Coturnix japonica: one gene and its partner. The protein of the gene in region 2 purifies or fractionates together with the protein of the main gene of each other region. This does not show direct contact. Links are inferred from orthologs where the notes say so. Each region holds a gene or a part of one and is shown on either strand. Other genes may lie near its edges. The genes, in order: OGT and ASXL2.

Region 1 (3,815 bases), on a different chromosome or scaffold from region 2:
AAACCAAAGCTTTATTTGTTTTGTCTCAAGTCTTCGCTACAGTCCGCAGGGCTGCGCCCTCTATACACCATTGCCACCCATTTGTGAAACGTATTTGGCACCAGTTTGTGGGTTTTTTTTTTTCCTTTTCCTCAAACGCTTTTGGGGGAGGATTCGTTTTCCGATCAAATTTGGTTTTCTAACAGAATAGGAGCTGCCATCGTGATGCCAATCAGCTGTTATTGGAGAAGCTTAAAAACAAAAACGGAACAAAAAAAGTCCTTATCTAAACCAACACGTTACAGAGCTCCAAAACAGAGGTCAAACATTAAAAGGCTGATATAGGCTCGAGTGGTTTATAAAACCTATAAAAAAAGACTACACCAGCAAATATGCCCTTCAGTCCGCACAGTCTAGAAATGAATGCAGGGAGCAACACTCGCTAGCTGGAAATCTTGCCATGGGAGAAGCACACGTATACCACCAGGAGTACCCCAAATCAATCGTTAAGAGGCTCCAATTCCCAATCTATAAGGAGACAAACGCGTCAGAAGATTGCATCAAATCCAAGGGATCGTAATTGGTTGGGCAGTTCAAACTTCCCCCACCAACCTCTCCTCTCACACATAGAGGCTCACATGTACACGGCTCAATCCCGTTCCAATTCCTCATGGAATAAAAGGATCCCAGGCTCTATAGAGTCTTCCCCTATCATGCAAGAAATACGGTCCGGCTGTGCTCTAATTACCATCGTGTATCATTTCAGCCACAGAGTACCAGGCAGATTAAGTAGAAATGCACAGTTTTTAGCTCATCGTCTCTGCACAAGTGTTAGAGAGGCTGAGTTCCTGGACAGGTCTGGCTGGGCACACAGACAAGTCTCTTCATGCAGATTCACTGGTTTCCACTGGCTTGATCATGTGGTCCGGTTTGTTGCCAGCAGCATAGTGATCCCACATCTGAAGGTAAAGCCTCTCCAGGTCCATGGTGTACTGCTTGGTGTTGAACAAAGGGCTGGATATTCTCTGCTTCCAGACTTTGCCACGTATTTTTTTCAGGCTGCAAAAATAAGTTGAAGGCAGTCACAAACGCTTCCCAACACTTCTCAGTGCTGTTTGCTTTTAAAATGGGTTTCAGCAGACCCAGAACTGCCAGTACAAAAACGGCAACTTCCACACCAAGTTCATGTGGCTGTTTCACTCCCTCTTCGTTTCTGATACAACCAGCATTATCTCAGCAGAACAGCTGTGACATTCAGTTGTCACATGAACTATTCTGCTCTGTATTACTGCACAGTTTTAACCTACAACTGTTTCAAATTCAACCTACAAGAACTAAAAGTGAAATATGGTGCAGTTTTTAATCAGACAAGAGCCTGTACTTGAGCAATTCCTTCACAACAGCAGCCACGTTACTGGAGCCCTGTTACATTTACTGCAAAAACAGAAGCAGAGTTAACTGCAAGACTCTACAACACCTCAAGATGAGAACTGTCCTATTTCCAACATTAGGCTAATACGCACAACTACTGATAAACTCAACACTGTGACCCACCACAGCACTTTCATTCTTGATCTAACAAGCTACAAAGTGCAAGTTTACTTACTATTCCAGATCAGTTCCCAGTTTCACAGCAATATCCTCATATTCCTGCCTACTTTTTGCAATAAGCTCAAGACAACCAAGGCAAGTAAGCTGGGAGGCAGCGACTCGTGACGCAAGCGTTTCACCTGTAAAGGCACACAAATAGGAGTTACCAAGTAACACGCTACAGAGTGCAGACCTGTTTCTCTAGAGGAAATGAGGAAGTCTGCCAGACCCACTCCCTGTTATGGTTACAATAACGGTATCAAATTCACCCACTCCATCCAGGTTTCCCACAGCGTTACCTGGCATGGTGACCATAGGAGTCCCAGCCCAGAGCACATCCATCCCCGTCGTGTGCCCATTGCACAGTGGAGTATCTAGACAAACATCAGCCAGCTGCCCTCTCCTCACATGCTCTTCCTTGGGGGCAACAGGAGAAAAGATGATTCTGTTCTGGGAAAGACCCAGGTTTTGGGCATACTGCTGAATATTGGGCTCTCCTACGGCTGGGAAACGCAGCAGCCACAACACACTGTTTGGAACTCTTTTTAGGATCTGTAACAAAAAATCAAGACAAAAACAGTTACGTTAGAAAGCTTTCCTTATTTGGATAACAAGAGGTCATGATGTAACAAGATGAAGTTAAAAGCGTTCGTCACTCAGTACTTTCTCTCTTGGAGCACAGAGCAAAAAACAAGACCACAATAGTACTGAATTCCTAATGCTGCTGAAAAAGAAACAATTCTGAGCGAGTATGGAGCAGCACTTGAAAAGTAAGTCTTGAAATCCACGATCTCATTCATTCACTGCAACGCACTTCTGAATAAATTAATACCACTGTAGACCAGAGGTTCGATCTTAGTTTCCAGATCCACAGATACTCACATTAGCCCACATCTGCAGCGTGGAAGGGTCAATCTTATAGAGTTGATTGAAGTTGCAGTATACAACAGCATCTTCTGGTAAGCCATACTGAGAACGGGTGGTAACAATGATGGTTCGTGGAACTTCTTCTCCAGTTGCTGCTTTGTTGTTAATCTAAATAAAGAAAAAAAAAAATAAAGCCATTGGAATGCTGAAAATAAAGAAAACGTGCTTATGCCCTATGGAACATTCCTGACATACATACTGCAACACGTGCTGGCATCAGAAGTTACTCAAAGCTTATCTTTCACTTCTTATACAAAGACTACATTGTCTACTTACCCAGAACAAGAATTTAAGTGGTGTGTGTACATGCTTGTGGATACCACGATGCTACAACCACCAAGGAACAAAACACTGGGCATTTTCATGCCCTGGCTACGTCTCCCTGCAATTCCAGGTCATTAGAAAGAAGAGGCATTTAAGGAGCACTCCCCTCCTTAAGGTCACCTCACTGCCTCGAAACTAAAAATGAGAGCAAGGCTTGAAGGAAGAAGAGAACAGTATTTAGAAAGCAAAGGGATTTCTTTTTGTTTGTTTTGGGGGTTGGGGTGGATGGGTTTTTTCTTTTAGTATTCTTAGTCTTGAGGATTAGTAAAATGGAAGTATAATTCAAAGTCAGAATGACGGACTTTTGTAGGCTATTTTCTGTTTGTTTTTAAGCAATAGGCAATGGTCAGAAGGAAACGTCCTTACAGATATGGCAAAACAGGTACTTACAGCCTCTGTCTGTTTTAAATTTAATGTTTTACATACATATATATATATATATATATTTAAAGTTTATCTCACTGCCACTGCTGCCAGCCAAAATAAATGTACTGTTGACAAACTTGACATTCATGGGAATGACTCACTGTCACTGACTCTGTTAGAACATGGAGCCAGTATGTTGAAACTGTAAAGACATGAAGATAAACAAGATAATTTAGTTCAAAAGAAATAGGTAAGAGTGCTACTGACCCATAACACCAAAAACCTCAACCACAATGCACATTAATAGTACCAATACCCCACATTACAACACATACAAAGAAGGGTTATCTTAGTATGATCAAAAGAGGTCAAAATCTCACAAGAGATCAAACCACATTTTAAAAGGGCACCAATGCAGCTTAGATTGGTTCTCTTGGTGGTGGAGTGATTAAGACAAGAAACTCCCTGCTATTTCAGGGCACAGCATTTCCAGGAAAGAAAGCCAATAAGATTACTGATCAAACTAAGATGAAGCCTATTGCCAACTCAGAAGGAAGTCTAAGCTGGGCACCAAAAAATTCATTAAAAGAAACCAAAGCATGAGGTTATGGATAGAGCAGTAATAATAA
Region 2 (3,815 bases):
CATCCCTGACAGTTGATGCCCCGCAGGCCTGGCCGGGACCTGCTGGAGCAGAAGGTGCTTTCTCTTGTTTGTCACAGCCACCAGCACATGAGGAGCCCGAATCCTGATTTATAGCCATGTTTGGGGGGCTCTGTTTGATTCTGCTGACTTGCTCTATCGCTGATGCCACTGGGGAGGAGCAGCTGGTACCTGTATTGCCAGCTGCACTTCTGGATTGCAACGTGGAAGTTTGCTGTAGTTGTGCTCTAGAAAGACTGGGGGCTGCTGGCTGCTCCTGGGTCTCCATTGGGGAATGGGTCCCTGGGCAGCGTGGAAGAAACCTTCTCGAACTTCCCCCGCTTCCAGTTCCTGCCAGTTCCAGTGCGTTTCCTCGTGTTCCAGTTTCACCAGCTCCGCTCGTCGCTGCGTTGCCTGTCCCTCCACCGCCCGCTGGGCCCCCACCGGGGCCCGGCCCTGGAACTGCTCCCCCCGAAGAAGCGGCTGCGGCGGCTGCGGCGGCCGCTGCCCTCTGAGCCCTGACCTGCTGGGCTTTGGCCTTGATGTCCGCCAAGGTTCTGGCGCCTGTTCTGGCTGGACTGATGAGTGAGGCTGGGAAACGTACCCTGGGAGAGACCTGGCCCGCAGGAAATGGCATGGGGGAGATTCGGGAAACAGGAATCTGTAAGAGAGGAGAAAAGTGGAATTGATATACAGGGAATGTTTGACCCACATCATTAAAGACAGTTTAGATAAATGCTTTCGGAGTTCTAACTTCTCATTTGAGAAGAATACAAAGAAGAAGGTCCACATCCTTTTGATGTCTGGCACACCTATTTTGGGTCTGTAATCACCTCGTTAACTCAGGCTGGAAGCTCTTCCCTTGAGGTGCCCACTGTTCCAGCACACCCCATCACTACAAAGCCTACTGAGCTCCCTCAAAAGTGAACAAAACTCAACACCTCTCACCCCCTTAGTGTAGGTTTTGTGCTTAAAATTACATGTAAGCAACCCACATCCATTTGTACATCTGTGAATTGCTCTTCTACTCCTGCATGTCATTTCACTCCTTGGTGTCCTTTTATGAACTAATAATACTCTACTGTGCATCTTCACATAAAATGCCAAATTTTAGTCCTGTCTTCGAACATACGTTCTCCACTCCCCTCACCTTTGCAGTTTACTTTGTGTGATCCCCCCTTCTTCCTAAAATGGAAATGATGAGATCAGTGCACTCATAGTAGTGCTTTTCTCTTATCTGTAGCGACTTAAGCTTGTATCCCTTGAAGTCACATTTGTTTTCATACATTCACAATACTTCGCTGACTCCCAGTTACCTTCTAATCTTAATAAGAGATTAGAATTCTCAGAACATACAGAAATAGAGCAATTGAATCATTTTCCATGCACAGTTTCTGCCTAAGGCCCCGAACAAGGCAGCTGAGCTGGGAATTTCCTGGAAGCTCAATCGCAGGTGTGTTTCTTGTGGCCTATGTCTGAAGTATGAGAGAAGAGCGCTGTTCAGGCCAAAGCCTGGAACCCTTCTGTCACTCTCAAGCTTTGCTTCTGTTTTCCTTTCTGTGAATCTATTGCTTAATTCACAGAATCATGAAATCATAAAGGTTTGAAAGACCAATAAGATGATCTATTCCAACCATCAGTCCACGCCTGTGACCACTCAAGACCATGTCATCTTTTTATATGTAGATTCCTGCTAAGATTCAGCAGATAAAAGGCTTTTGGAATTGAGATGTTCCCTAAAATAGTCCTCTGATACTTCACTGCATTCAGTACTAATGATAACCGCATCATTTTTGGATTTATTTTTAACACAGGCAAATAATTTACTTCCTGAGCTTGATATTGTAGAGCAAACTGCTGGCAGCATTCTTTCTAGACCTGTTCTTTTACCAATGGGACTACACCTACAAAGTTCCTTGTGTTCTTGAGCTGCAGCTCCCTTTGTGATTTCAGTCCTGTAATTGCTGGAGCTTCTGGTTAAGCAGGTCTCATAGCAGATGTGTGTGTCCAGGAGACTTCACTGAATTCAATTCCCTTTAGCAAACAGCATTTTTGGATCAAACATTTCCGTCACAGCAATAAGCAGGCAACATAACTTGCATGCAGAACCAGAACTGAGCTGACCCAGAAGCACTGACCAACATGAACCCATTCTGTGCATCTGCCTTCCTTTCTCCTTACCTTGAGTGGGGGCACGCGTGGCACGGGGGGCCCGGCAGGAGGAAAGGACTGCGTTTGGCTGCGAAATGCTGGCTGCTGCTGCTGGCACTTCTCCGCAATGCGAGGCTTCTTCTCAGGTGTAGTCGAAGCTCCTTCACTGCTCTCTGACTTCCTCTTATGGCCTTCGACACTGACCTCCATTTCTTCATTTACAGGGGGTTTCTTTTCTGGCGTTGGTGGGGCGACCACTGGACTTGTCACCTTTGCCACTGCTTCACCTGCTTCAGGGCTCTTTGGTTTGCTTGGGGCCAAGACCGGGGCACGTGCAGCCTCCTTCACTTCCTTTGATGCAGTGTGCTTCCTCTCTTCTTCCAGCTTTTGGCTCACAGCAGGCTGTGGTTTCTCTTGGATGGGTTCTGCTTGGATTCTCTCTTGGATTTGGGGGTCACTGGGCTTTGCTGCACACCCAGCTGGGGAAGCTGAGGCCTCGGCAGGTTTGGCTGCTTTGGGCTGCATCTCTTCTCTCCCCTCCTCTCCTCTTTTCTCCTCTCCTTTTTTCACCGCAGGTGCTTCATGGACCACTTGTGCTTTAAACTCCGATGGAGAAGTCATCTCTTCTTTGACTGGCATGCATTTTGGCTGTTCTGCCGCTGGCTTTTCAGCCTCTCTATCATCAGCGCTGGTGTTGGCTGTCAGTCTCTCAGACTCTTCGGGACTTAATCCAGAACTAACAAGAAAAGCAGAATTTTTGTTTTGTGAAACATCCTTGCACAAAGCACGCTATTCTTACAAACACAAAGAGGGCTGCCTAAATGCCATACCCAAAGTAAACAGAACTCGTACTGATTTGATGCCACGATCTTTGAAATCCTTCACTGCTGTTATTGCTTCCAAATGAAACAGAACTTGATAGCAGTGTTTAAAACCAACTAAACAAAGTACGTGAGCACGCATTAGATCGAGGCCTCTGCCCAAATACTCCCTTTCCAAGCTGCAAACCAAAAGAATTTGGCCAACAGTAAACATTTCCTTTCCTCGTCCCTGCAGGCCTATCTCTGCCATATGCAAAGTGCCTCACACAGCCCACATCTAGATTCAGCTCATATGGTGACACTTCCTGAAAGGGACTCCAGGCTCCTGAAAAACATCTCCCAGTTTTGGCCAGCAGCAGAACCACCGATGGACCGACCCTCAGCTTAGAACCAAGACTGCCTGTCCTGTTCATTCATCTTTATTTACAAAAGAAATGAACAAGTCGGGAATCTAATGAAGCTAGACCTTGTTGAGGGCTGATGAAAGGTAATGGTGTACTGGTGGGCAGCACATGAAATCCACAGGACTAAGTGTGCCCAGTGAGGCAGTGAGGAGGTAAAAAAGATGCTGAAGTTCCTTACCTTTGGCCATAGTAGCTCTCAAAGAAGTGTTCCTTCCACAGCTCAACCTTCTTTTCCTTTTCTATCTCTTGACGTATTCTTAGCTGCATTTCTGGTGTGAACTCACCTGCAAAATGCAGGAAGGGTCATGTACACAGCCCATGTCCCTCAGTGCCACATCCCCATTGGTTCCAGAACAGCTCCAGGGACGGTGATTCCACCACCCCCTAGGCAGCTGAGCCAAAAAGCTTTACTTAAGTCGATGTGAATGACACCTATTGATCT

Evidence for each region.
Region 1: the proteins of ASXL2 (region 2) and OGT purify together in Homo sapiens (affinity purification with mass spectrometry; 3 studies listed by BioGRID and IntAct, with this or other methods). This does not show direct contact. The link is inferred for Coturnix japonica from reciprocal best matches to the Homo sapiens genes ASXL2 and OGT.

What each region holds. Positions count from the first base shown.
Region 1 is NC_029519.1:2,145,739-2,149,553, forward strand, and holds part of OGT (UDP-N-acetylglucosamine--peptide N-acetylglucosaminyltransferase 110 kDa subunit), read right to left. Parts: intron 2,605-3,815; coding exon 2,452-2,604; intron 2,122-2,451; coding exon 1,869-2,121; intron 1,710-1,868; coding exon 1,586-1,709; intron 1,039-1,585; coding exon 864-1,038; 3' UTR 1-863. UniProt on the Homo sapiens protein: Catalyzes the transfer of a single N-acetylglucosamine from UDP-GlcNAc to a serine or threonine residue in cytoplasmic and nuclear proteins resulting in their modification with a beta-linked N-acetylglucosamine (O-GlcNAc).
Region 2 is NC_029518.1:95,657,672-95,661,486, forward strand, and holds part of ASXL2 (putative Polycomb group protein ASXL2), read right to left. Parts: intron 3,658-3,815; coding exon 3,552-3,657; intron 2,885-3,551; coding exon 2,179-2,884; intron 659-2,178; coding exon 1-658.